Linked DNA regions of Astyanax mexicanus. The protein of the gene in region 2 purifies or fractionates together with the protein of the main gene of each other region. This does not show direct contact. Links are inferred from orthologs where the notes say so. Each region holds a gene or a part of one and is shown on either strand. Other genes may lie near its edges. The genes, in order: scfd1 and nsfb.

Region 1 (15,245 bases), on a different chromosome or scaffold from region 2:
ATACCCCCCAACTCTCTCTTTTTTTCCCCTGCTTATGCAGAGGTGCGTTGCCTGTAAAAAGGTTGGTGCTTCGGTAGGATGCTTTATTAAAAGCTGCAGACAGATGGTCCACATGCCTTGTGGAGTTGAGCAGCAGTTTATCTTCCAGTTCACTGACTCTTTCCCGTAAGTATATTGTTGGTACATTCAGACCAAACTGCACTTTCCTCTTTTTCTGATAAAATCTGTGACATAATGTAGTCATCACTTGAAAATGTGAGATCAGACATGGTACACGTCAATTATGCTGCCTCTGTAAAACTCTCTTTTTTACAAGCTACATGATTAATAGAACATAGCTTGGTGTCATGAATTGTCCCACCTGTTCTGACCTCCATCTAAGTACTGGTAAAATCTGTGCTTTTCCAAATACACCAGTATCTGGCATAACCACCTGTTAAGCTAAGTAAATAAAACTGTAATTCTTAGAAAAACATTTTCTTTTAAAGTCTAATGAGTGCTGAATGTTAATCTACACAGATTTCTCTCCTGCAAACTGTTTATTTGGGGGAGTAAAGCCCCTCAGTTTATTTACAGTAAGCTAAGATTTCCAGATTTCCAATAAGGCTGTGTGCAGCAGTATTAGCATTAGCAGATAACCACTAGTGCTAGCCACAGTAAGCACTAATAAATGCTGCCCGACAGAACTGCACTAAGAAACCCGGAGTGTTCCGGTAAGCCAGGGCGATATTAGCTAGCGGTTCGTCCCATGTTGCTTGTTTTAACACAGTAAACGTAGACTACAGTTCGATATGCTCACCTCTGAACGGCGAAAGAGCTAGCACAGTTAGTGGCTAATGCTGCTCCAGCAGTGCTAGTCAGGGTTAGCAGCAGGCTATTGCTTAGCGTGGTTGCTCCAGTCTCAGTGTTGGAGAAACTTTACTGAAACTCCTGTATAATGCTTTACTTCAGTGGAGTGGCTTCACTGCTCTTTACAACCTGACTGGTAAAACTCATACACGAGATGCAGCGGATTATGAGGTGCACTGGCGATTTTTTAAAAAAATTAAAGGGTTTTAGGTACACCTTAAAGCGCAGTTTATGTAAACATGCATGCTTAACTGAATGCAAAATGTTTTTTTTGCCAGGTCTTTCTGTAAAAAGCACAGACCCACCCAGACCTGCTCTTCAGTCCCCACTCTGCCTGTCTGCTGCTCCATCTGCTTGGAGCATATCGAGCCGGTTCTGTCCTACTCTGTGCTCAAGTGTCCTGCTTGTCATGGAAGTTGGTTTCATAGGAACTGTGTTCAGGTAACTCTATGAGAAGCTTGATTTGTAAAATACCTATTTACACACTGTATATTTACAGGTTATTCTGCTTAAGCAAAGTGTAGGAAATTGTAATTTTGATTTTATTTTTTTCTCCTCAGTATCAGGCACACAGTGCTGCAAAGTTTTTCTTTAAATGTACCCTCTGCAACAACAAGGACCAGTTCCAACAAGAAATGCTCAGAATGGGAATACACATACCAGAAAGGTAAGAAAAGTTATTTGAAAAAAAATAACTAAGTAATTTTTTTTTACTGAAACAGTTCTTTCATAAATATGACCTGATTTTAATCTTTCAGAGATGCATCATGGGAATTGGAGGATAATGCTTATGGGGAGCTGTTGGAAGTGTACCAGCATTGTGATGCTGTGAAATGTTCCTGTGAAAAAGGGCGAGGTTACAGTGCAGAGACAGGGTAAGTGTTTTTAACCAGGTTTTTTGATTCACATGAGTATCACCCTGTTAGCTGAAGGTGTCTTATTCATTTAGTTTATTTTAAAAAGATCAACATTTTGAGGTTAAATAAAAAATGTAAATATATTTACTTAAAAGCCAAGCTATAAAACATGTTACATGTTTATTTTAAGTATTTTTAGTCTCATCCAGATGTGAGTTTTAGCCCTAAGGACATTTTTATTGCAGATGTCTCATTTTAATAAATTAGCCTGATTAGAATTGGCGTAAGCCATGGAAATCTTGTTTTTGTTCTAGGAGATAAAATTGTATTAGGATATACATTAAGCTGTTCAAATTAGCCAATTTTTTTACTTATGTATAACTTTAATATTAATTTATATAAGTGTGCCATTACAAATCACTGAGCTCCCACAGCACCCTGCCCTATGGATCTCGTAAAGGAGAACTCCGGTGTTAAATTGATTTTTGATGTAGTTATACATGATAGAGTACCAACCTTTGTTACATAGCCCACCTTCATTCTCCCGCAGCTTTCCTAGATCCAGTAATTTTTTTTACAGTTTGTCCAAACATGCTTTAGAATGGATGATATGGGGCATATTTTGCCCCCTGCAGATAAATAGCTTTTTACACCGTTATCCAGGCTCAAAGTAGATCCACACCTCATTGGTAGAATCCGGAAAGCTCTCACATTTAAAACGAGGCATTAATAACTTTAAAACTGCGCAAGAAGCTTATTAAAAACCTTGTTGAGTGAATGATATAAGCATTGCAAGGGGATTATATAAAAATCACTGTGTTCTTTGAACACCAAATCACAACACTCACCAAAAAACTCCTCTCTTGTAGTTTTTCTTTTTATATATATTAATTAATGAATATATTAAAAGTTTCAGGAATTGTAGGGCAGCACACTGACATCATTTATTTGAACATATTTGTAGATAAACTGATGTTTTTAAAGTTCTTCTGTTGATGTTATAGGGTTTTTGAGATTGTCAGATGCAAATTCTGTGGATCCAGAGGAACCCACCGAAAATGTTCCTCCCTCAAGAATTATGAGACCAGCTGGAGTTGTATTGACTGCAAAGGTGCAGCTGAAGGAACAGGTGAGCTCACACCATCACTTTTATAAAATATAAATTATATAAATTATAATATATAAACTGAAACAGTGATTTTGGCAATGATCCTCTTTGCTTTGACCAGCAACATCATCGTATGAATATAAACATTTAACTAAACTTTTCTGTGCCTGTGACAGTGTCCACGTTGCCAACCCATGTCAAATCACCCCTGGCAAAGAGGCAAGAAAAGAAGAGATTAATTAAAAGGTGTCTTTCAAGCCTCCACTCGTCACTCATCTCCAAAAGGTACATTTGCAACAAGTTTGGCCAAACATCTTGTGTTTGAATGAAATTTCATTTTTAAATGATGGCTTAATTTTTTTTAAGCTCGCTTCTGTTTTTATTTATTTAATTTTTTTTTCTCTTTTAAATGTAACTGCTGTTATGATCTGTAATTAAAGTGCATTGCACATGGCAATCAGTGCATTTTCCTTGTGTTTTGGACAGGAGTATAATTTACAAATTTGTTGTTGAATTTCATTAATTAAATAATCTCACAACAAAGAGATAATTAGCAGCGTGTTGAAGGGTTCTTACACAGAGATTTGTTTGTTTAATTCTAGGCGCTGTGTGGATGCAGGTCCTGCAGAGATTTTAATGGATCTTGCCACTCAGTTAATTCCACATCAGACCACAGAAGTGCTGCTAAAAAGCGACCAAGTACTTGAAGCTGCCCTGCAGGCTGTGCGGCAGAGTGACTTTAACCCCTGTCACAGACTGTCTGTCAGATTCATCAGAAGCAGAGAAAGTCATAAGGTGGTGAACCAGCACCGGTTCCTCAGCCTCCTCCTGCAGGACCTACAGAACTCATGTGTTTTTGAAGGTCCTGAGGGGTCTAAAAACTTGGCCCTGAATTCACAAGGTGAGTTATTATTAGAAGTAATAGTAATGATGGCAGTAGAAATAGTAGTAGTAGTAGTAGTAATATTAGTAATAGTGCTGGTAGTAGGAGAGATGGTGGTGGTAATTGTGTAAATAATGGTAGTGGTAGTAGTAGAAATAGTAGTAGTAATAGTAACAATAGTAGTAGTAGTAATAATAATGGTAACAATAGTAGTAGTAGTGGTGATGGGGGTAATTGTGATAGTAGTAGAAATAGTTGTAGTAGTGGTGGTAGTAGAAATAGTAGTAGTAGTAGTAATGGTAGTGGTTGTAGTAATAGTGGTAATAGGAGAGGTGGTGGTGGTAATTATGTAAGTAATAGTAGTGGTAGTAGGATAAATAGTAGTTGTAGTAGTAGTGGTAATAGTAACAATGGTGGTGGTTATAGTAGTTGTATTAGTAATAGTAACAATGGTAGTGATGGCAGTAATAGTGGTGGAAATAGTTGTAGTGATAATAATGGTAGTACAGGTGGTGGTAATTATGTAAGTAATAGTAGTGGTAGTAGGAGAAATAATAGTAGTGGTGGTATTAGTAACAGTGGTGGTGGTCAGGTCATAGTAGTTGTAGTAGTAATAGTAACAATGGCAGTGATAGTAGTAATAGTGGTGGAAATAGTAGGAGTAATAATAATGGTAGTGGTAGTAGAGGTGGTGGTAATTATGGTAGTAATAGTAGTAGAAGTAGTAGTGGTGGTGGTAGTAAAAATAGTAACGGTGGTGGTGGTAGTAGTAGTACTAGTAAAAGTAATGATAGTAACAATGGTAGTGGTAGTAGGAATAGTGGTGGAAATAGAAGTTGTAATAATGGTAGTGGTAGTAGTAGTAGTAGTAATAATGGTGGTGTGGTAGTAGTAGTGGTAGTGTAGGTAGTAATAGTAAGTGTGGTAGTGGAGGTAGTAATAGTAATTGTTGTGGTAGTAGTGTCAGTAGTACTGAAGTATTAAACAACAGTTTTGCTAATGCTAATTGTGTTTTATTTGCAGCACTGAGGGATGATCTTTACTTTGAGATTGGAAGTTTGCTTTCCCTCACTCTTGTTCATGGAGCTTCTCCTGTGGCCTTCTTCTCTCCTGCACTCTACCACACCCTGTTCCATTACCCACCTGATTACAAACTCACCGTCCAAGACCTGGGAGACACCACCATAACACCCAAAGTCACGATGGTGAGTCACACTGTTTATATGTGCACATGTACAAAGCTCTGTTATAGAGTTTGTGGTGCTGTTGCTGCTGCTATGTTGATGTTCTGATACCCAGCCTTAAATCTGTTTCAGATAGCAGAATCCAGCTCGTTATCAGAGCTGAAGAAAGCAATGCGGGCTGCTTCTGAGTACTTACAAGTAGCAGGCTGCTGGCGGGAAGTCGAACAACTGGATGATAAAAACGCGCTGCTGGAGGACATTCTGAACTTTTACCTGATCGTAAGAATGGAGATGCCTCTTCAAAGGTTAGACCCTTAAATAGGAATTATTTATTGGCTTTTATGGAAGGTTTAAACTGTGGAATGTCAGTTGTTGTTGTATATTAACTAGTGATTTGATTGACTCTTTTTAGATTTCGTGAAGGCCTCAGGACATTAGGGGTTTTCGAGCGCATCCAGGCTTGTCCAGAGGGTTTTTACCCGCTTTTCTGTGACCCAGTGGAAAGGATGACAGCTGAAGCCATGTTTTCCCTTTTCACTTCGCAATTTTCAGAGAATGAGGAAAAGAAAGCAAGAGAAGAGACAACCCTGGGGTTTTGGAAGCAATACCTGCATGAATGTGAAGGTATGTATTTGTGTTTCCCCATTAGAGTTTGAATTATGTCTGTAAGATAAATCTTACTTTTATTATTATCAGGATTTTATTTTTATTTATTTTTTTATGTTAAAATCAACTAGAACTAGAATCAACTAAAATCAAAAAGAAAATATATATATATATATATATATAATCTCTAAGAACAATGAGTGAGGGAGTTTTTATTGTTTTATTAGTTGATTTTTATCAATTAATTGTTGCAGCTAATTTGTTTACCCTGCATGTGAACAAATAAAAATGTATTGTGTTTTTAAAAATCAATACATTGTTGCAAAATTAAATATTGCGATATTAGAATTATTAATAATACTTTTCTACACACCTAATAAGGTTCTCTCTCTCTCTCTTTCTCTCTCTCTCTCTCTCTCAAACTAAAATGTCTTCTCTTTTTGTTGCAGATGGACAGTGTGCAGCATCTCTAGAGGACATTCTTCTATTTGCCACCGCTACAGATGTGATCCCCGCCATCGGCTACAGCCCCGCACCCATGTTCTCATTCTTTACCCCCCTCGACCCCTCTTGTGCTTTTCCTCAAAGCCAGCCTGAAGCTAACCATCTCATTCTGCCTGTGCTGCCCTCCTACGAGCTGTTCAAAAAGCACCTGGAGTATGCTGTATGTGAGCTGTCTGTGATGCAGGTCCTTTAAAACCTCTGAAGTCTCCAGAACTTTTGGGTCAGAGATGAAATGCAGACTGTAATGGTGCTACTTGCTTACCTTTGGAATATATATCTCATCTGCCACAGCATCGTGGATGTTGGACTATCAGGAGTATATAGGCATTTGTCCTATAAAATCTCATGGTGGGAGAGCTACAGAAAAAAAATACCAAAAAATGAGCAGACTTTTGCATTATTTTCAGAACAGGTTATGAAACTTACATTTTACCTTTTTTTGTGCGAAAAAATAAAGTGTGTAACTTTTTGATTGTGATATTGGTGTGATTTAATGTGGTGTAAATAAAACAGAATGTTAGAGCTTTTGAGATTCAGAATACATATTTATATTTAAACCTCTTGCATCCTCTGTAAACATAATGTTTCTCCAATGTTACACTGTTTCTCTGTGTTCCTCTTTTCTTAGTTTTTGGTAAAAGGTGCTTTTTCATGCTTTTGTTGGTCTTGCCTGTTTATATAGTCTTGCGCAAAAGATTGGACTTGACAAGGGTGGATTTTTGGAGCATAATTTGTTCCAAATGATGAATAATTTTCCTTAAGCTGAAGATATTTTTACACTAGCATTGTACATTATGCATTTTTAAGATGTTTAAGTACATTTTATGTGAGTGCTTTTACATACTTTTACATATATATGTATACATGGAACTGTACTGCAGGAATTTTACTAAGCATTTTCATGAGTCATAAAATGATACCTTTGTAACTTCAGTTTTCCATTGTCATGAAGAATGAACCAGTAGATATCATCCACACTTATTTGTGTTATACATTGACTTCTATTGAAAGTTTAGATGTGTTTTTTTTTTTTTTTTTTTTTTGCTTATATTTACTAGTCTTTAAATACTAGGTATTGCATGTCAGTGGAGATATGTAACGTTATGCATTAAATGCAGTGCTCGTTTTCCCTCAGTTTATGTTGTTTCTGTGAAAGCTTGAGAAATATTCTGAGAATTTGTTGATATCCATAATCATTTTTTTCTGATTTGCAGGTCCGTCCTTCAGTCTTGATCTTCTGAAAAGCATGTAATGAGAAACTGTTGCCCATTATTTATTAAATACTTCCTTTCTGATGTTTGCATTGTCTTTAACTTCATAAGCTGATATTCTTTAAACATGACTATTAAAACATTATCATTGCACTAAATATAATTTTTCACAAAGAATACACTGTTATTTACATTAAAATTCAAATTACATTCTAAATATAGCCATTTTAAATGAAGTTTTATAGATTTATAGAAAGTGTGCAATAATTCTTTAAACAAAATTAGGCAGGAGCATAAATTCATCATGGAAAGTTATCAGGGGTGCCCAATTTTTTTCATACCACTGTAATATCTCAAAATAATGATTTGCTGTCTCAGAATAGTGAGATAGTATCTCAAAACGACTTACTATCTCAAACTAATGAGATATCTTAAAATAATGAGATGGTATGTCAAAATAGCAACTTAGTATTTCAAAATAACTTAGTATCTCAAAATAATGATTTGCTGTCTCAGAATAATAAGATAGTATCTCAAAGTAACGACTTAGTATTTCAAAATAACGACTTACTATCTTAAAATAACGAAATATTATATAAAAAACGACTTACTATCTTAAAACAATGAGAGAGTATTTCAAAATTACGACTTAGCATTTCAAAATAATTATATAGTACCTCATAAAAATGAATTAATATAAAAAATAAGAGCAGTTTACCTAATAAGAAAAAGGTGCACATGCTACTTAATACAGTCTATTGGTATGGTAATTGTAATGATGTTATGGTAACTGTAATTGTATTGGTAATTGTAATGGTAATTGTGGCTGCAGTATTGGTATTTACCTGTGTTATTTAGCTGCGGGTCTCGGTCTCCGCCGGCAGGTGGCGCCCCTTCTTCCTCCTCGCGCTGCCACGTCACCCGCCGACTCACCACCGCATAAATAGTAAAGATGGCGGCGTCCATCCGGGAGAAACAGACAGGTCTGTAAATGATCAGATTTTATATGTTTTCAGCTCTTTAGCTCAGTGAAATGTGTGTTAATGTGGACGGTGGTTTCTGAGGACCCGTCTCGCCTGTAGATAATTCATTAATTATTCGCGAATGTAGAGAGTTAGCCGGTTAACTGTGTTGTTAGCTCGGTTAGCTAGCTGTTAGTGTTTGTAACGCTGAACTGATTAGCCAGTCAGCGCCTTACTCAAGACAGGCTAACTAACCGGATACTTAATAAAACATTTATTTAACCTTCTGAATAAAACTTACAGACTGTCCTTTAACTTAGACTGTGCTTCCCATTTGCCTCACCTGCAGTAAACAACACAGCTAGAATAACTAACTACGTGGAACTACAGGTATCACTAGATAAACTAAATAAACAACCTTAAATGAATGGATAACGCTTAGGGTTGCCACCAATCTCTGACAGAAAACATAGACACTGTCATACTGATGGACTGTTTTTTTCCCCCATCAACATACAGTACCAATCAAAAGTGTGAACACACCTATAATTCAGTGTTTTTTCTTATTATTATTTTTAAATGTCCTGCATTGTAGATTAGCTAAAGCTAAAATAATCTAAACTATTAAGAAAGTATGTAGCTAGTAAGCAAAAAATATTTTATATTTTAGATTCTTCAAAGTAGCACCTCTTGTTTAGATGACAGCTTTGCACATGCTGGATTTTCTCAGTCAGTTTTATGAGGTAGAGTCTCCTGGAATTCAGGCTTTCAGTTAACAGCTGTGCTGAACTCATCAAGAGTTAATTACTTGAATTTCTTGTCTCTTAAAGTGTTTGAGAGCATCCGTTGTAAAGTTGTGAAGAGGTAGAGTTACAGGTATACAGTAAAATAGCTCTATTTGAGTAATGTTCTAATCCAGATTATGGCAAGAACTACTCAGATAAGAAAGGAAAACCTGCTTTAAAAAATTAAGGCCAGTCAGTCTGAAATATTTCAAAAACTTTGAAAGCTTCCTTACGTTCAGTTGTTAAGACAATCAAAACATTATGATGAAACTGGCTCTCATCAGGACCACCCCAGCAAAGGAAGACTCAGGGTTACTTCTCTTACACAGGATAAGTTCATCAGAGTTACCAGCCTTAGAAACCACAAGTTAAATGCTTCACAGAGTATTTTGGTTAGTTTAACACTTTTAAGTTACTGCATGATTCCTTATGTGTTCCTTCATAATCTGGATCCTTTACTATTCATTTACAATGTAGGAAAAAAAACATTGAATGAGAAAGTGTTTTCAAACTTTTAACTGGTACTGTCCATGCTTGGTGAAGTACAATTGTACATAGCATTGAATGTGTTATGGGGTTATGAGCCCTGAGAGAGAACAATTGGCCTTGCTCTCTCTGGGTGGGTACAGTAGATGGCTCTCTCTCTCCCCTTATCTCTCCCAGGGTGATGTTGATCAGCACAAGGCTGCGTCTGTGAGCTGATGTATCAGAACCGAGTCGCTGCGCTTCCACTGTGATGCTACTCGGTAATGCTGCATCAGCAGTTCAAAAAGAGACGGAGTCTGACTTCACATGTATCGGAGGAGGCATGTGCTAGTCTTCACACTACTGGTGTTGGGGCCATTATTAGTGATAGTCCTAATGAGTGTGTTGGGTAATTGGCTGTGTAAATTGTGGAGAAAATGGGATTTTTAATGGACATTAAGGATTAATGATTTATATTATTTACTTTTCAGCTGCCCTGAAGCGAATGCTAAATTTTAACGCCCCACCCCTGAAAAATACAGCAGCTGAACCAGTATGGAAGGTAGTATTTTTTCTTGTTTATCTATTAGTGTTTATTCAGTATTTTCCATATATTGATAATTGTGCCAGTAAGATATTGTTGCTCATTGGTTTGGTTTGTCTTTTCTTCTTCTCTAATTAGGTCCTTATTTACGATCGCTTTGGCCAAGATATCATCTCTCCCCTTCTGTCTGTGAAAGAGTTAAGAGACATGGGGATCACTCTTCACCTGTAAGGAGTTAATATACTAAAAGTGCAAGACACTTTATGATTTTAAATCTGTATGTATAAATGTATTTTTGCTTAAAATCACAGATTATTGCACTCAGACCGAGATCCCATTCCAGATGTCCCTGCCATTTACTTTGTAATGCCAACAGAGGAGAACATAGACAGGATATGTCAGGTAAGGGTTAAAGCTTAAGAATAAGATGAATTAGCTTATCAGAAAATACAATCCTGCTATTTTTATATAATTGTATCGTGCTTTATCTTGATGGTACATGCATCAAAAACATTGTTTTTCTCACTGCAATAACATTCAAACTTACAGGACCTGCGGAACCAACTTTATGAGTCCTACTACCTGAACTTTATCTCAGCAATCTCCAGAAGCAAACTGGAGGATATTGCAAGTTCTGCTCTTGCAGCAAATGCTGTGAACCAGGTGACCAAAGTAAGTCAAACTCATACTTAATTTTATATTTATTACTTTTTTCACCTAGTAACACAGTATTTTTTTCCAGCATAAAACATTTAAACTTTTTGTTTAAATGTTTGTTTGTGCCCTACTTTAGTGATCTATCGGTGAGCCGTCAACCAAGCAGCTTGATTGGCGTGAATTAAAATCATGATTCATTTTGTTAGTGCTGGAGTTTTTCCAATATTATTGTGAGGGCATAGTAATAATAGTATATTATGGTTTAGCAGATTAGATCATTTTGTACTGTATTACAATATCTGAGAGAGAAAGACAGAGGCAATACGACCGCTTACCCTGCACTTAAACCAAAAAGCGACAGGCAACCATTCATTTCCTATGACGGGGCTCGATTTTAGCGCAGCAACAGTGTGCGTTTCTGAGCACGCTCTCTGCTTGTGTGTTTGAGGCCACACTCCTTTAGGTTTTAGTTCCTCCTCTATTCCTATAGTCTTACCTGAACACTCCTCACTTCAAGACCACCACACCCATCGGTGTAGATATATTCACAAGCTCCATTGCTATTTAAACGGGGCAGGCGCAATGCGTGAAAATAGGCTGTTGGTGGGGTGTAACATAGCAATGATCATCGTGACGCACTTTGCGCAGGGTTTAAGATATTATTGTCATTATTGTCACTATTGTCATTGTGCTTATCACTAGTAATCATTTTCTTTTTAGGGGTGCTTTTCTTTGACTTTTTAGTGGTTTTGATTTTGGTATTTAATTATATATTTAATGTTTAAAGTATTTAACCAAACTATGCAAATGTTGTGCATTATCTCTCTTTCCATAGGTGTTTGATCAATATTTGAACTTCATCACACTAGAAGACGACATGTTTGTCCTCTGCAATCAAAACAAAGAACAGATATCTTATCATGGTGAGCTGTCTGCAAGCAAAAAAGAGAAGGAGTTGAAAATGTTTTTATAAAAAAGACACTATGGTCATTGTAGACTTTGGATGGCAGTGATTCAGTATGCTGGGCTGCTCAAGAAACTTGTGAACTTTGGAAGACTTTAATCACCTCTGGTGATTAATAAGTTTTTGGAGAATTTAAAAATACACATATGTTTTAATACCTGTGGTCAGAAACAGGCCACTGGCTTTAGGCCTAAAGGATGGTTAACCCAAATGTGAGAGACTTCTATCTATACGTTAGTGAGATGGCTGTTTTTTTTTTTTTTTTTTTTTTTTTTAAGTTGGTAGTAAGTCTATAGAAGCACTATTTAAACACGTCATCTAAATGGATATACTGCAGGTTTAATCTTTGCTCCTCTGAAAGCAACCTTCAGCTCTTTTCTTTATACTTAAGTTAGAATAACTAAGTGGTCCAGCAGGCTAAGCTCTGCCACTATGATCAGGAGATCGCCGGTTTGAATCCTGTTTATGCAGCTTGCCTACAGCTGCCAGAGCCCTGAGAGAGCACAATTGGCCTTGCTCTCTCTGGGTGGGTACAGTAGATGGCGCTCTCTCCCCACATCACTCCTAGGGTGATGTGGATCAGCACGAGGCGTCTGTGAGCTGATGTATCAGAACCAAGATACATTGCTATCGGAGGAGGCATGTGCTTGTCTTTACCCTCCTGGTGTTGGGGCATCACTAATGATAGGGGGGAGTCCTAATGGGTGGGTTGGGTAATTGGCTGTGTAAATTGGGAAGAAAATGGGATTAAAATTAGAAATGAATAAATAATAAATATGTTATAAGGATAAAAGTTATAATATATAGTTATAATGTTGTGAGATATAACTTTATCTTTCTTTCTTTATATCTGAGCAAATTTAAGAATGAGTGACTGACAAAGTTTCTACTTTTCTTTCAGCGATCAATAAGCCAGATATCATGGACACAGATATGGAGGCTATAATGGATACTATTGTGGACAGTCTGTTCTGCTTCTTTGTTACTCTCGGTAAGTTTTTATGTAGCATATAGACCCTGCTGTAGTTAGTATGTACAACTCTGGAAAAAAAATTAAGATACCACTTCAGTTTCTGAATCAGTTTCTCTGATTTTACTATTTTTAGGTTTATGTTTGTGTAAAATGAACATTGTTGTTTTATTCTATAAACTACAGACAACATTTCTCCCACATTCCAAATAAAAATATTGTCATTTAGAGCATTTACTTACAGAAAATGAGAAATGACTGAAATAATTAAAAAAGCAGAGCTTTCAGACCTCAAATAATGCAAAGAAAACAAGTTCATATTCATAAAGTTTTAAGTGTTCAGAAATCATTATGCATTTATCAGTGTTCCCCTCCTCCATCAGTCTTACACACTGCTTTTGGATAACTTTATGCTGCTTTACTCCTGGTGCAAAAATTCAAGCAGTTCAGTTTGGTGGTTTGATGGCTTGTGATCATCCACCTCCTCTTGATTATATTCCAAAAGTTTATAATTTGGTAAAATCGAGGAAAAACATCATTATTTAGTTGTCTCTTATTTTCCAGAGCTGTATATTCAAAAGAGTGTTTAAATTTAAATCAGTAGTATTCACTAGATGGCAGTATTTCCTTCTAATTGTTTGTTGGTGATTGAAATACTCTGTAATATAGCAATGCTGAAAATCATTATTACTATTGGAAGGTGTTAGATGGACAGTAAATTATATAGATTTTATATACATTCAAAAATCATTTATGACAGTACAAGAATGTTGATGAATTTCTTTTTTAAACATAGATAAATAAATAATAAATAAATTATTTGATCAAATTAAAATGTCCATTAATATTAGTAGATATTACATGAGATCTAAAAATAAAAAATATAAATGAAATCTAAAATGGTCTGTGGCCATGGAAAGGTTTATTACGTTTGTTTAATCTTGATTTATGTGTGTGGGTACTATAGGTCTGAACAAATGAGCCTCTTGTACGTTTTTTTTTTTTTTTTTTGCTTAGGTATAACGTGTACGTGTATATAATCGAATGTGTCCTTTATTTGGCAAGCGAGTAAGATTTTCTGTTTTTCTAGGTGCTGTCCCAATAATCCGATGTCCCAGAGGGAACGCAGCAGAAATGGTTGCTGTGGTAAGCTGCATGGCTCATCTGTCATGCCATTAAAGCCAGACTGAGTAATCATTGTTTGCTCTATACCCTGTGGAAAGACTTATAGAGACTTTATATAAAGAGTTTTATTTATCTTGGGTGTTTGCCTCAGTGTTTTTGGGTGTCCATTGTAATCAGTGTATTGTGTATTGTTGTAAATTCAGTATATTTTTTTATAATTTCAGAAACTTGACAAGAAACTGAGAGAGAATTTGCGAGATGCGCGCAACAGTCTGTTCACCGGAGATACCATGGGCGCTGGCCAGTTCAGGTGAGAAAGAGAGGGAGAGAGAGAGAGAGAGAGACACACACACACACACACACACACACACACACACACTCACACATGCACAGAGCATCTCTGACGAGATTAACATTCACATCAGCTTAAGTTATAAATCTTTGCTAAGTATTCATTCCATTACTTTTATGTACAAGAATTTAATATCCAGGACATAAGCCCCTAAGAAACTCCACAAGCCCTGCTAGCTTTTCTTTTTGCCCACGTACACCATGTGCTCACCGGAGCTTCAACTTAAATTACAAAGAAATCTTTTCCCTTGCTGGCCCTCCAGTCCGTCCTCCCTCAGAACCCAGCACTCGACCCTGGGAAGCTCAAAGAATGATCCAGAAGGAGAGATTGGTTTCATTGCTGGAGCTGAAAGCCCAGAGGGGGAGAGATTAATCATCTTGTTGTGTTTTTTTTTTCTCTTTTCTTTCGTTCTCTCCGTCTTTTGCCCTCTCTCTCTTTCTCTCACTTTTACCCACTCTCTCTTTTTCTCTCTCGCTCTCTCTCTCTCTCTCAGTTTCCAGAGGCCGCTATTTGTTCTTGCCGACCGCAACCTGGATCTTGCCACCCCACTCCATCACACATGGACCTACCAAGCCCTCATTCATGACGTCTTGGTAAGGAGACCTGAAAGAAACTCATAGTGACCATCATTAGACTCGGAGCGTTTGTTTATACTGACAGCGTTCCCGATTTCTCCAAGTGTTATTCCACTTTTTTTCCCTCTAAGAAATGGAGGAAACTTCCAAGTTGCAACATATGGAAAGATGAAATGATTACGGTTATCACATAGATGACAGAGAGGTTTCATGAAGGGTGGAATGTACACACTAAGTTGTTGGTGTGCGCCAATGAACATAAATAATTAGCTTTTTCCAGAATCCCTCTGAAAATGATTCTGTCCTAATATAGCAGGCCTCCTGTTAAAATTATTACACAGTTGGAATGCTTCTTTTGTCTTACTCTTTCGTCTTTATGATGACAATCATCATTATGAATGTCGGAGATGTTTTCCAAGACGTCAGGAGGCCAGGGCGAGATATACTGAGTATAATTTATATATAGGGTCATGACTTAAAAGCCAATGTGAAATTTAATGTGTTTCTCCACTGAAAAGAGGCTCTGCAAAGCCTACTACCCTACACCACCAAAAATGCACAGTGAAGTCAACATTTTAATACCATTATGACTGTTTAAGGCTGTCTTTTATTTTCCACTTTGTAGTTCTTGAATTACAAACTGT
Region 2 (16,081 bases):
ACCTGTTTTTTGCACTGCAAATAAAACTGACGGTACAGTCGAACGGTTCTTACCTTGCACATCTTGGTTGAGAGCGAGGCCAGCCCATTTCCTCTGAGACAGAAAATAAAAGAGTTACACATGAATCTTAATTACTACATATCACAACCTAAACTAGTGTAATTAAACTCAAATCCTGGGGACCCGGAACTGGATTGTAGAGACATGTCATCTGCTGGTGTTGATCCACTGTGTTTTATTATCAAGTCTAAAGTCAGTGCAGTTTTGTTTTCCCACAAAATCTTACAGCACTTCATGCTATAAGCATGCATTTCATTTTCCAGCAGGACTTGGCACACTGCCCACACTGCCAAAAGTACCTATTGATCTATATAATACTCAAATTTCCTTTATTAATGAAATAAAGTTACTTCTCAATGATATTAATTTTTTTAGATGCACCTGTATATTATGATACATGTATCACAATAGATCACATCATATATATCACGCAATATCATGCAAAGATGTGGGTCCATGTGGGGACTGAAGTTTAAAATCACGGGTCTAAACCACAAATATTTGAAATACATAAAACATATTCATTTAAATATAAACACAAACACCAATATATAACCGTCTCTTAACAAATGGCTCTATTATACATCAAATGTTATTTTAGCATTCATTATAAAGGGATATTTATCAGATTATTTAGCCAATAGTGCAGCATCTTGCTGTCAGAGGTGTCAAGTATATATTTAGTAGTGCACCATAGGCCTAAGCTTTTGTTCTTAATAGCTTTATTTTTCCTACATTATTTTTACTTTTATACTTAGATTACTTTGAAACCAGTACTTTTACACTTTTACTTAAATAGTAAAAAGCTTGAGTTGATACTTTTTCAACTTCTACAGAAATATTTTATTAAACTCTAGTATCTATACTTCTACCTACAGAGTAATGAATTGAGATACTTTTACACCTTTGTTTGATGTAAATCTGAGCCAGTGTGAGGAAGTAGCTGCAGTACCTGAGAGGCCTGGCTGCTGCCGGGTTTACAGGTGAAGGAGAGACAGTGAGAGGCAGTGAGAGAACAGAAGCATGCAGCGTAGAAAAAAAAAGCAGAAAGGGAAGAGAAAAACATACAGAAATAAAGCCATAAAAAAGCACTTTCTATATTAGTCTAATTCTGCACCCAATAAGCACACAGAACAGATGGGTTACAGAGAAAGACAGAATAACCAGAGCTTAGATTTAGTCAGTTTAATAATAATAATTATAATTTTAGTAGAGATAAAGCAGGGAATAATATAAAGTAGTACCGTATTTTTCGCACTATAAAGTGCACTTAAAATCCTTTAATTTTACCAAAAATCATCAGAGCTCCTTATAATCTGGTGCTCCTTATGTATGAATTCTACCAGTCAGGTATTAAGGAGCAGTAAAGCCACTTCGCTGAAGTACAGAGCTATAAGGGTGAGTTTTTAGTGTTTCTAGTTTCTCCAGCACTAAGGATGGAGCAGTATTATTAGCATTAGCCGCTTATCTTGCTAAGCACTAGCTTTGACACCGTTCAGAGATCAGTATTATCAGCCTGTAGCCTGATCCTAATCCGGCTAGCACTGTTGGAGCAGTATTAGCATTAGCCACTAACCTTGCTAAGCGCTAGCACTTTCACCTTTCAGAGGCGAGTATCATCGGACTATAGCCTGCTGCTAATCCTGGCCAGCACTGCTGGAGCAGTATTAGCATTAGCCGCTATACACACTAAGCTCTAGCTCTTACACCGTTCAGAGGTGAGTATTATAAGCCTGTAGCCTGATCCTAACCCCCGGCTAGCACTGCTGGAGCAGTATTAGCATTAGCCGCTAACCACACTAAATGCTAGCTCTTCATTTAGAGGGGAGTATATCAGACTGTAGTCAGCACATTTACTATGTTAAAGCAAGCTACGTCGGACAAACCGCTAGCTACCCTGGCTTACCAGGGTTACTCAGTGTAGTGCTATCGGGCAGCATTTACTAGCGCTAACTAGTTAACTAACAGCTTGCTGCTAATGCTAAATCTGTAAATCTAAACTTACTGTAAAATAACAGAAAAGCTTTAATCACCCAAATAAACAGTTTTTAGGAGAGAAATCTATGTAGATTAACGTCCAGCGCTTGTTTAACTTTTAAAGATCTTTTTTTTAATAATTACAGTAAATAATTCAGCTTTACAGCTGAATTAGAAGGAGAACATGGTGACACCCCTGTTCCTTACTAGTGTCGCATAATGAGCCTTATAATCCGGTGCTCCTTATAGTGTGAAATAGGGTAATAAAAAAAAGCAATTAAGCACAGACAGGAATGTGTAGTAATATTTAGTAATAAAGCAGACAGAAGTCAGATTTGTAAAATGTTATGATACCTGAGGCAGGCTGAAGGCAATGGTTCCAGACACCACGCTCTGATGCGTCTTTACAGTGAACACGTACTTATGAGTGGGCGTGGTCCTGATCATAACATGTCTAGAAAATATAAAATACTACATCAGTTACAGTTCATTCTTTAAACACAATGCAATATATTAGTGCTGGGCAGTATGACAAAAATATAAATCACAGCGTTTTTCAAGATTCTGAAGGATTCACTGTATATCACAGTATTTTTTATTATTATTATTATTTTTAATAGGGTTTTTTTTTTTTTTTTTGCATGTCTGGGCTTTTATATAGGTTTGTGAGTAACTGTACTGTTAGGAGTAATAAAATCAGACTTTATTATCAGAAAAACAGCTGAAGTATGTGAACAATAGACTTTAAAAAGAGATAGGCCAACAACTTTAACACAGCTTATTTAAAAATATATATATATTTTAAATAGGTCCATCAACCCTATAAACAAACCTAAAATACTCAAAATGTTTAAGTATTTAAGTATTTATTAAGTATTTATTCTTGAAGCCATTAGAGGCATTACAGTATTTATATAGCTGCTTATTAGTTTATCACAATTCCCTTTTTCCTCCAGTTAACAAATACATTCAGTTCAGTTTGCATTAAAATTATCCTTTGAGCTACAGTATTAATATATTTAATACATATATATTCTGGACTTGCTGAAGATGTGCAATAGATTAAATAGCATTGCAATAATCTAATTTCAAAGTAATAAATGCATGAACAAGCTTCTCAGTATCTATAGGAGAAATAAAGTCTCGAACCATAGCGATGTAAGCCATGACGTGTGATTTAAAACTAAATTTTAAACAACTAAACACATTGCTTGGCCTTTAAATGCATGTGATTTAAAACAATCTGAACATCATTTCTTTGTGTCTCACTTCTGATAACTAGAGCGTCAGTCTTTTCTTTATTTATTTCATGGTATAAAATTAGTAAACACTACATCTGTATCATCTGCGTATTGATAATAACTTCTTTTATATTACCTAATGACAAAAGGTAATTGAAGCACATTAAGATTAAACAATAAAGGCCCAAAAATCGATCCTTGGGGAATCCCACAGTATTATAATTGTGTGTAGAGGTAGAAGTACCTAACGTAATATAGTAACCCTGACCCACGAGGTTGGGAAACACTTTCTTTATAGTATTGTTTATAACATCTGGTGAAAAAAAACTGTGTGTATATATTTAATAATCATGAATATATATATATATATAAAACACTCACTGGCCAGACTTTAGATCCCTCTCATTCGCTACCACACAGTTAGTCAGCGACAGGTCATCTGTCGGACATCGCGCCGCTTGCATGGTCATCTGGATGGGAACGAAAACAAAAACAAGAAAACAAAATTAGACCTTATAAATTATACACAGAGTTCAGATTATGATGGAATTTTACTGGAGAATACAAGACGCAAAAGAGAATAATTTTAAACCAGGCAGGTGAATCCGATTCCAGGTTACGTTCAGTCAGAGAGAGAGACTATGAGTGGTTTTACTATGAGTGAATGAGCTACTGAGCTCTGAGTTTCCTCTTCTGAAGTCTCCATTGCTCCACCAGCCTCTCGCGTTCAGTAAAACTGAGCTGGAATCTCTTTTAGAGGCTGTACGTGTGACGTAAGTACGTAAAGACGCGTGACTTGGCCTGAAGAAGATAAACTCCCACGAAAAGTGACCCGACACCCCAGTTTTTAGAATTAATATATAGTTAGGTTTAGCAGGGATGGTGGTTTCAGCACACTGGTACCATTAAACACTATATTTTATCCATATTCTTCTCCACTCAGAAATGCTTCTGCTTTCAGTTTAGAAACTAAATAATACAGACTGCCACTTTAACCCACACTTTATATCACTAAAATAATGTTTCAATTTGAACATATGCAAAAAAAAAAAACACCGCCACTATCCCACAACAACCAACCTAAAAAGAAATTTCAAATTGCACATAAACTGCATTCTACAATTAAACCAAGCGTATTTGACCAAGATGACAAAACATGATGGGCCTCGTCTCTTTCACAGTACACAAAACTGCATTTAGACAGAGCGTGGCTACAAATATAACCATATAAAACTTATTTCAGTTAAATAAACTTAAGATAGGTAAGGACAAACACAGTAAATCCAATATTAGCAAATATAATGAATACATTGAGGTTTTGGTGTGTGGTTTCCATGATCAGTGAACAGCTGGTGTGTGCATGGATACTGCTGAACATGTTCCAGTCTGGTTGTATGCTACTGTCAGCAACTAGCGAGAGTGCCTCTTTGAGGGGGATTCTGATAACACTGCTGTTGTACTTTCCTGCATTGACCATCACAGAATTTAAAATCCCTACAATATCTTAAAAAGATTAATAAATCATAATTTTAGCAACACAATGTCCAAAAAAAAATGTCCAAAGGTCAATGAGTGCATAAACTGCGTGTTAAGTGTCAGGCACCTGACCAACATTCTCAACATCCCCAGCACTTAGAAGAGGAAGCATGTTTTTAAATGCTGATTTAATCATTCGTAAGTGACAGCAACAAAAAAACAAATCTAGATTTACTGTTTCAACTTTAATCTTTTTCCTGTTTTACTAATTTACATACGCTGTTCTGCAGTAGAGGAACTGATCATAGCTGGTTAAAGCAGTTTATCCTCTTTTACTTTCTCTTCTTTCAGTGAAGAAGTAAAACTCAGGTCACTCAGTTTCATTCCATTTATATCTTCAGAACGTACATAAACTGTCAGAATTTATAGTTATATACACTGAAATGCTAATAATAGATACAACATGCTTGAGCTTTTCTACTAAATAATAGTTTAGAGATTTAAAATATTACTTCAGTTAATAAATAAATAAATAATCCGAATTCAACCATTCCCTAGATTAAAAATCTTATCTAACTCCTCAAATTAGGTCTGTCATTATAACAAGTTTAGTTTGGACAATATTTTATCCAATTATTTTATTTTTAAAATCAATGTTTTTAAACAATGTTCACATGCCAGCACATTCATTTCAATTGGCTCTCATTCATGAGAAATCTATAATGAATGAAGTCTAATCTAAAAATATTAATTTATTTGATTTATAATTTTTATTATGACTTTAATCTCATTATATCAGGACTAAAATCTTGTAATATTACAACTTTACTTTCGTAATATTATAACTTTCACAACCTCACAATATTACGACTTTAATCTCACAATATTATGACTTTTATCTCTTGTAATATTGTGACTTTAATCTCGCAATATTGCAAATTTAATCTCCGATAATGCGACTTTATTCTCATAATGTTTTTACTGTATTCTTGTAAAATTACGACTTTAATCTCGCAATATTATGATTTTAATCTTGCAATATTACAACTTTAATCTTGAAATATTACGACTATAATCTCACAATATTATGCCTATAATCTTGCAATACGATCTTAATTGTGTACTATTATGACTTCAATCTCGTAATATTACGACTTTATTTTTGTAATGTAACGACTTTTTCTTGTAATATTACAAATTAATCTTATGATATTACAACTTTATACTCGCAATATTACAACTTTATTTACACAATATCTCGCCTATGATCTCGTAATATTACGCCCATAATCTTGCAACAATACGACTTTAATATTGCAATATTACCACTTTAATCGTAAACTCAACTGTTTTATTCTTTTTTAATGGCCCTAAAACTCTGTGGTGTAAAACTGGAGCTGCAGTAATCAGTGTGTTTGCTATAACTGCAGTAAACGGTGATTTTAACGCTTTTTAAAGCAGAATTAAGAGTTTATTCATATTAATAATCAGCTGAGCACACAGACAGTCATAAGACCCGCTCCGCTCTCCTTCCGGATCATTCCCCTGCACCGAGCCGAGCTGATCCCCCGGCCAGGCCGCTAAACAGCAGCTCCTCACCCCGCTGTTCCCCCCCACACAGTTCCGTACAGCAGAAACACTAAATAAACTCCGATAAATAATAAATTTACTCACCCAGGCAGCCATGACTGCGCCTTTACCGATCCCCAGCGCCCAAACCACAGCCGGGTTACTGAGAGCCGGCCCACTGATATTATAACGCTACATCACCGCCCACCGACAGGGGCCGCTGGAGAGGGAGACCAAAATGAATGGGAGTGAATGGAGCTAAACAACAAAAACACAAATTAAAAATATTAACTAATTAATTATCCAGTATATTCATTTAATTTTAGAAAGAATAATAAAGTTATCAAAATATCTAGTTATTAAAAGTTTTAAATAATTTTGTATATTTTGTAATAATTTTGTATCCATCTCACTACAAGTACTGTAATCCCTTATCATCAATATTTTTCTCACCTTTTTTTTTATCTACTATTTATTTGATATTTATTCATTGCTACTCTTTGTGCAATAATACTGGTCCACCCTACCATAATCATATCTCTATGCACTAAATGTATATAAATAAATATATATATATATATATATATATATATATATATTTTGTTTACTATATATAATTTTTTAAGTATCTTTTATATATTTTCCTGCAATAGTTTTTTTTTTTTTGTATAAATAGATTTATCATTATTTGTTTATATTTTTTCCTGACCTGATTCTCTGTCCTTTCCTCCGTACTGCTGTAACACTGCAAATGTCCCCATTGTGGGATTAATAAAGGATTATCTTATCTTATCTTATCTTATCTTAGAATTTAAAGAATCAAATGAAAATGCCACTAAACCCTAACGTTATATCATTTTTTTCTATTAATAGTAATAGTTATTAATAAAATGTTTTTCTTTAAAGTAGTGAAACATACCAGTCCTTTATACATTTTACATTTTTAGAAACATTTCCTTACCTTTAAAAAAAAACACTTTTATTGTGGTTATTTCTGCCTCTGCCTGCAGCGTGCTCTCAGGTTTAACTGTGCTATAGGCGAGGATAATGTGTGTCTGTGTACTTTGGTACGCAGATACTCACAATAAGAAGATTAGTTAAACAATAAACAATAATACTTCAAACTCTACTGAAGTAATTTAAACTCAAGTATCTATATGTCTAACTTAAGAGTAATAAATGGAGATACTTACAATTATGTACATACATAACTAGCTCTAGACCAGAATAGGGTGTTTTCTTGGAGTGACCAGCTGGATTTCTAGGCAGCGTTGTTTCCTCAGACACTGTAAATTGTTGTATTTTGCAAATATTGTAAAACCCAATAAACCTATGATTTAAAAATAAAGTAGAATAAAAGATTTCACTAAAGCAACAAAGAAAACTTACCTGTATATTTATATATTTTAACGATAAATAGGTTTTATGCAGTAAAGATGTATAAATTACAGTATATATAAATATATATATTCAATTTAATAAACATTTATGAATACATTTTGCTCAGTTGCTCCATAAAACCCATTCATTCTGAACTCGACAGCGCCCTCTGGTGTCCGACTAACTCTGTATTATTAACGTATAGAGTAGGTATTCTCCTCTGTATATGCTCTCTGTTTACTCACACACACACACACACACACACACATACACACACACACACACACACACACACTACACACAACCACAACCACACGCACCGCTGGATGACGCTCATGCTGCCAGCAAACCGGAAGACTGGATTATCAAAATAAAAGACGCACCTACCAAAATAAGAGTCTGTTTAGTATTTTAATATTTATTTAATGTAAAATCAACGTTCAGTTAAGTTTTTATTCAGAAAAAATAATCAGAACCGTTTTCACATCTTAATTGTTTTTAAACATTTCATAAACAAAATATTATATTATTATTATATTCTCTTTTCACACTTAAAACATATAGAATCTTTAAATTTGCTGCAAAATAATGGTGTTGAAATGCTGTATATTCTACAGACTAAAGCAGAAGAAACACTTTTCTATAAAACCTATAAACCGTTTTCATATGATTTTCGGTTAAGGCTACTGCTCGTTTATAAATACATCAATAATTCAGTTTAACATCCTCATCACAGTTTATACTCCATCAGGATTAAACTCCACCTGAAAAACTCTGCTTATTACATTATATTTTAACCAGCAAATCAGAGTGACCCACAGTGTAACTTAATGTTCACTCCTGTTTAGTTTAAAATTACATTAAAATTAAATGACAGTGATTAAAAACACTAAACTTAACGTTAGCATTAATTAATTTAGCATGTAGCTCTTCACTACACTCTAAAAAACAGAGGTACGATATGAGTACTTTTTTGTACTCGAAGGTACACTCTTTATAATTGTACACTCAAAGGTACAATATTGGTCTTTACGGGGTCAGATTTGTTCCCTCTGAAGTACAAAGTCATTTCTAACAGCAATAAGTACAAATTTGTACCATTTAACCTGCAGCCAAAAGGTACATTCAGTATTCTGCATCACTGTACTAATAAACAATATATATTTACATTGCACATTTTTTATTTGAAAGCCAGACAATTTTGTATCATCAAGTTTTTGAGCCATATTCAGTTGATGATAATGTTTATAATCTTTATAATCTTTACTGCCACAAAAACCATGGGTACAAAAAAGGACTTTCACTGAAAGGTACTTTTTTGTGCCTCAATATAAGGTACAGCCCCAGCGACAAGCTTTGTACTCTTTTAAGTACAAATCTGTACTTATATTTCTTAGAGTGTATGAAGGCATTTTAGGGCCACTCAAAAAAAAAGTATATATATGACTTTATTCTCGTAATATTAGAACTTTATTCTCATAATATTACAACTTTATCCTCGTAATATTGCAACTTTATTCTTGTAATATAAAGACTATTCTTGTAATATTACAACTTTATTCTTGTAATATAAATACTTTATTCTTGTAAAATAAAGACTATTCTTGTAATATTACAACTTTATTCTTGTAATATAAATACTTTATTCTTTTAATATTACAACTTTATTCTTGTAAAATAAAGACTATTCTTGTAATATTACAACTTTATTCTTGTAATATAAATACTTTATTCTTTTAATATTACAACTTTATTCTTGTAATATAAAGACTTCATTCTTGTAATATAATATATATAATCTTGTAATATATTTATTTTCGTAATATTACAACTTTATTCTTGTAATATAAAGACTTTATTCTTCAAATATAAAGACTTTATTCTTTTAATATTACAACTTTATTCTTGAAATATAAAGAATTTAATCTCGTAATATAACAACTTCATTCGCAAATTCTTTACATAATGTTACAACAGATAATTGTGTTTAGCATACAGACAGCAATTATCCAACACTGATTTACTAATATTGATAGTTTGCTAGTTGTATAGTTTCCCAGACAGGGATAATCCCAGTCATAGACTACTGTAAACTATCCCCCATAAACCCACCATTCTAAAAGACAGCAGGTTTAATCCCTGTCTGATAAACTGCCCCGTGGAGTGTAAATTTAGTCTCAGACCGTCTGCAGAAACAGTGTGTTTGGTTAAATCTCTTTAAGATTAGGGATGAGGAGGATCAGACTGACTGATCACTGTGTAATGTGTACATCAGAGTAATGAACACCAGCAGGGATTTAATCACAAATCCCTCTTACTAATAACCTTCATTTCTCAATACAAAAACAAAGACTCTTTTAAAAGGTGCAAATAAATACCAGTTATCAGAAGCACACAAACTCACACAGTACTGTATCCAATAAACGTGAGTGCCCTCCTCACATTTCTGCATATATTTTATATATACTTTTTCAAGGGACAAAACTATAGAAATGAAACTTTGATTTAATTCAAAGTGGTGAGTGTACAGTTTGTATAAGGGCCATTCCATTTATTTGAATGGGAGCCATTTGCATGTTGTAACTCTATTATAATTCCATATTAAACTTGTTTTTTGTATATATTTTTAACCCTGAATCTGACAACACCTGTATTTAACTATTCAAAACATGTACTACTCAATCACAGGCAGCTTTACCTAAAATTTTACAAGGTTTCTAATCCAAATATGGTTACAAAACTCATTTCACATTTAAAAGGCATGTTTAAAAGCAAGTTCATTGATTCCTTTAGTTTTCTCTCAATATAGTCTTTATTTTAAAGAAATATTTGACTGCATGTTCAAATAATTGATATTTTTGACAACAAATCACGAATTCCTGTTACTGGCACTCATTCCTGTTACTGGAAACTCACTCCTGTTACTGACACCCATTCCTGTTACTTTTTATGTTTTGAGTAATAGAAATAATAGATAAAAGTAACAGGAATTAGTTTTTAACATAGAATTAGCAAATCATGAAAAATAGCTAAAAGGTGGCTATGCTAACGGCATGAGGACACTGAGCACATTCTAGTGATTTTCCCCAAAATTCGTATTTTAAAAATAAAGCAATTAGATGTAAAAAATAATTTAAGTAACAGGACTGAGTGTTGAGATTGAGCTCCTTAGTCATTGTTACATTAAGATCAAATATACAGAAAAACTAATGAGGAAACTTAATTTTGGTCTTCCCATGATCTTCAGAAGAACCAGATGATGTCACTTCCTGTTGTAGATGTGATTTCCTGTTGTAGAATGTTCCAGATGTTTCAGATGGTGTAATGTGTTACAGTAACAGGACTGAGTGAAACCCAGGGACACAACTAAAATGTGTATTATTTAACTTAAATATTATGGATTTATTATGAAATGTGTATATTTTTAAAGCATATATGGGATTTGAAATCACACAACAATACAACAATTACATATGTGAAGGAATTTAATAATTGTCTTTCATGGTAAAGTGTATAGTTAGAGAGTGGGGGACAGGTAACAAATGCTATTATTTCAGTGTTCTAAGTAGTTTTTTATTAATGTTTTTATTTACATATCTTACTTTTGCAATCAGGTCATTATACAAGACGTCTATGCTTAATAATAAAAGGTATTTTCAAATATTTTGTGCACATTTATACATTTTACACATTTATTCCCTGGGAACAGAAAAAAAGCACCCATTCAGGGAAATGGCATATAATGCTGCCACACATGCTTGACCCCATCTGAGCCAGACAAGTTAATCTTGGTCTCGTTAAAACACGATAATCCATGCTCTTGAACTGCTTGTTTTCAACAAACTGGTTGCAGGCTTTTTTGTGCATCAGCTACAGATGAGGCTTGCTTCTAGGTCAGTTCCATGCTAACAGAGTTGATGCTTCAGTGTGGGGCGTGAGGGCTGAACAGTGCACGCTGACCTTCCACTTTTTCAATCTCTGCAGCAATACTGGCAGCACTCATACGTCTATGTTTTAAAAAGCCAACCACTGGATATTACACTGAACATGTTGACATAACTTAAGGTTATGAGTGGAATCCATTTTGGAAAACCTCTTTTATGACCTTGGTCACCATGCTATATCTCAGTTTTAGGGTGTTAGCAATCTTCCTAATCTGTTTCCGATGTAGAATATTTACAAAATGCATCTTTTTTTCCATGCTATCCCAATGTTTTTTGATTTTGGGTTGTATATAAAACTCTAAGACAATTCTTTGTCTTGCTCAACTGTAGGGCTGGGCTCCTCGAACACATTATTCTTAAAAGGTCAAGCGAGCTTCACACTGAATACTCACTCTTCCAGTAAAGCTGATCTGAACACTAAAATGTTTTCGAAAAACGCAGCCTGGTGGCTTTATTTAAGGGCGAGTTGGCATCCCTTAAAATAAGACTATCCTAATGTTTTTAAGAGATTATTATCGTTAGTTAATGAGTTAGAAATGCTTAAAAACATTACATAACCTATTGCTCAAAATATGAAGGTAACTTATATGCAGTAGAATGTCAATGTAGTCATTTAATGTGTGAATGTACAAACAATTATCAGATTATTACAGATTAATTTAATTACAGATTAATAATTAATAATGGTAGTTTAATTATTATTGGCAGTTGTCTTTTTATTTATCAAATTGTCTGTTATATCTTTTAGCCTTTTTGTTTATTTTATTTATTTTATTCCCTGTTTTATTTTTGGCCCTTTACCTTTTTATTTTATTTATTTTGTCCTTTTACTTATTCTATCTTCTCTTTTACCTTTTATTTTATTTCTGTCACTTACTTTCTTTTTAATCTTGATGTTATTTTAGCTATTTTTTCATTTTTTAGCCCTCTACTTTATTCATTTATTTCTATATTTTATTATACTAATTATTTATTTCTTGATTTTATTGCTTCACATTTTAGCCTGTCCACTTGTGCTTTTATTTTGAATTATTATATTACCTCTTAATTGAATCTTATAGTGTTTGCTTGTTTTTCTAATGCTTTTATCATTTATCTTTTATAGTTTTGTCTATAAAGTTCCTTATGTTAGCTCACCTGATTGAATACTTAATTTTATGTTAATTTAAATTTAGTTTTCAGTATCTTTTCAGCGCTTTAAGTTGTACATGCTCGGCTGCATTGAAAAAGAGGGTTACCCCTAATGTATAATTAATGATTAAACATATTAACAAATAGGGTAATATTCATATATGCTAGGTTCAATGCTGACTGATGGAAAAGACAAATTAATGGAAATTTCCAGACAGACCTGAAGTATAAAAGTGTAAATTAATGGATTTAATGATTTTTTAGTAGGTATAACCTAATAAATAGCATTAATAAACTCCTTTATAAACCCTTTATGATGGTTTTCTTGTTTTAAACTGCTACTAGAGAGCTTTAAAAAGAGCTCAGCACGTCATCTCAGCATGTGAACTGCAAAACCAGTTCCAGTCTGGTCCTTTAACGTGCCAAATGACAAATATGGCAAACATGCGAGAGTCACCACACAGGTCAGAAAGGTATGTTGGGTAAAATGTTGATTGCCCACTTTATTACAGCTTAGACTGAATTTAATCATGTTTAATAAGCTGCTGTGAACAAAGACTTCAATCCAGACAATTCGATGTAATGTTTAGACAAAATAATACAAACAGAAACACATATATACAGACTTACAAACACATTCACACACATACCTGTACACACACACACACACACACACACCACACATACCATACATACAATAAAGGGAACACATGAGAAGAGGCAGTATGGTGTTTAAAAGCTGACATATATATATATATATATATATATATATATATATATATATATATATGCATCTCAAAAAATTTGAATATCATTGAAAAGTTGCTTTATTTCAGTAATTCAGTTGAAAATGTGAAACTCATATATTATATAGATGTATTAAACACAGAGTGATCTATTTTAAGTGTTTATTTATTTTATTGTTGATGATTATGGCTCACAGCCAATGAAAACCCAAAAATCAGTGTCTCAAAAAAATTAGAATATTATATAAGACCAGTTGGTACTTTTAGCAATGTGCCAAGTCCTGCTGAAAAATGAAAGCCGCATCTCTATAAAAGCATGAAGTGCTGTAAGACTGAACACAGTGGACCAACACCAGCAGATGACATGTCTCTCCAAACCACATCTGATCTGCTGACAGATGGAGATGCAGATTTCATTTTCTAGCAGGATTTGGCACACTGCCCACACTGCCAAAGTACCAATTGGTCTTATTTAATATTCTAATTTTCTGAGACACTGATTTGAACTGGTTTTCATTGACTGTTTGCCATAATCATCATTAATAAAATAAATAAACGATTAAAATAGATCACTCTGTGTGTAGTACATCTATATAATATATGAGTTTCACATTTTGTACTGAATTACTAAAATAAAGTAACTTTTCAATGATATTACATTTTTTTAAGATGCACTAGTACGTATTTAAATCTGCATTTTGTATACTTAAATCAAATAAACTTTAAATAATTAATGCCATAATTTATTTACTTAATTTATTTGTAATCAAATGATACCATACCCACCCAGAGAGAGCAAGCCCAACCATCCTCTCTCAGACTCCAGCTGCTGATGCAAAAGCAGCATGAGCCAGGATTCAAGTGGGCCATCCTTGGAATGAATTTTAACCCTAACAATGCTTTTTGTTGGGTTTTAAATTTATGAAGTGGTAAAATTTGCTGCTGAGAAGAAAATATACATTTTAAAATCCAAATCTATGTTATCTACAGATATTTATCTATGTTTTGTCTGTGGAACAAATTCATATTTTACATTTTTAATTAAAGAGATTACATTTACAGACCTGAATTTCTTAAATCTGAAAATTGGAATGAATTTGAAGGCTGTTAAATATTTATAGTTTGTGAAAATCAGGTGAATTTAAGTAAAATACACAAAATGCAGATTCATATATATAGGTCAGCTTTCAAGCTCTATATGGCAGCAGGACTTTTCCTCTTTAAACTTGTGAAAACACATAAAGCCAACTTCCTAAATATACAGTTGGTCAGATCATACTGCAGTGGTGTGCTCCAGTTCTTTCACTTTTCTTTGTTTTTTTTTTCTTTGTTTTTTTGCTTAAAACTAAAATATCTGTTTTTCTGACCCTGCAGTTCAGTTCTGAAGGCTCGAAACAGTTATTCTTTGTAAAAAAGACGAATCTCTAGTACTTTTACAGCTCAGTAAAGGCACAATGTTCTGAGTACGAGTCCACAGAGTCCTCCTGCAGTCCTGTAATGGAAAGTTCAGTACTGGTACTGGTATCAGTATGGGTTGTGGGTTATGGGTTATGGGAGGGTCCGTGTCTTGTGGGTCACGGCGCTGGCCGCCCGCATGACCCGGTAGCGCTCTCGCAGGTTACGCCGTCGCACGTGTTCATTGGTGATCTCCACAACGTTAGCCACAGGAAACCATCCCTTCTGACCATCAGACAGACGGATCCCCTCGTACCATCCTAAAAAAAAGAGGGAGAGAAGGAAGAAACGTGAGGAAGAGAAAGACTTTTCTTTTTTCACACTAGTCTTTTTACGGTACAGATCTCTGATCCTCCTGGAATCGGCAGTCTGGGTTTCACTATAAGTAATTCAACCTTGTTTCAACCCGACTATCAACTGTACTCCTCATGTTTGAGCTAAACGGCTGTTCAGGTACAGTTTAACCTGATTTATTACCCAGATAATAATTACTACAGCTATTAACTGTTAAATTAAAGTTAAATTGCACTGTTTAGATGTTTAGAATTTTTGTGCACTTTCCTAGTGTGAATTTCACGCTGGTCAGACACACAACTGGAGCTGCAGGATTACCTAAATGTGTTTTTTCCACAGAATATTGCTATTGTGATTTAAATTGCAATATTTTTTATCCATTAAACGCTAAACCTGTATTAGTGGTTAACATATCTATCAAATATAATTATACTACAAACGTGGTGATGTCACAACACGCATGCCGCAACGTCGTGACGTGTCTCCGGAAGAGCTGGCTGCGTCATCACACACACACTTGCAAGCTATTGGCTAATTCAAATCGCAGCTCTTGCGATTAAAAAAATTACACTTATTTAAATCACGATTTCAATTTAAAAATTATTAATCGTTCAGCCCTACACACAACAGTTTGTATGTGGCAGCAAATATACACAACATATCAGAGTGTAGTCAGACAAAACAAGGTCATACAAGGTAAATTCAGCAGAGGGACGCCTAAGGGCAAAATAGGAGTCAAAAATCACTGGTTCAAATCCTGGTCATGCAGCTTGCCATCAGCTGCAAGAGCCCTGAGAGAGCACAATTA

Evidence for each region.
Region 1: the proteins of nsfb (region 2) and scfd1 purify together in Homo sapiens (affinity purification with mass spectrometry; 3 studies listed by BioGRID and IntAct, with this or other methods). This does not show direct contact. The link is inferred for Astyanax mexicanus from reciprocal best matches to the Homo sapiens genes NSF and SCFD1.

The regions. Positions count from the first base shown.
Region 1 is NC_064421.1:45,534,584-45,549,828, reverse strand, and holds the start of scfd1 (sec1 family domain-containing protein 1), read left to right. Parts: upstream 1-8,079; 5' UTR 8,080-8,154; coding exon 8,155-8,185; intron 8,186-9,905; coding exon 9,906-9,976; intron 9,977-10,096; coding exon 10,097-10,185; intron 10,186-10,269; coding exon 10,270-10,360; intron 10,361-10,507; coding exon 10,508-10,630; intron 10,631-11,450; coding exon 11,451-11,538; intron 11,539-12,480; coding exon 12,481-12,570; intron 12,571-13,639; coding exon 13,640-13,695; intron 13,696-13,898; coding exon 13,899-13,984; intron 13,985-14,519; coding exon 14,520-14,619; intron 14,620-15,245. Other genes in the region: g2e3 (G2/M phase-specific E3 ubiquitin-protein ligase), read left to right, coding at 41-165, 1,128-1,290, 1,410-1,516, 1,608-1,724, 2,711-2,835, 2,991-3,099, 3,417-3,715, 4,721-4,902 and 3 more. UniProt on the Homo sapiens protein: Plays a role in SNARE-pin assembly and Golgi-to-ER retrograde transport via its interaction with COG4. Involved in vesicular transport between the endoplasmic reticulum and the Golgi.
Region 2 is NC_064422.1:43,945,431-43,961,511, reverse strand, and holds the start of nsfb (N-ethylmaleimide-sensitive factor b), read right to left. Parts: upstream 6,536-16,081; 5' UTR 6,441-6,535; coding exon 6,429-6,440; intron 3,749-6,428; coding exon 3,660-3,748; intron 2,492-3,659; coding exon 2,392-2,491; intron 94-2,391; coding exon 54-93; intron 1-53. Other genes in the region: arhgef15b (rho guanine nucleotide exchange factor 15), read right to left, coding at 15,073-15,239.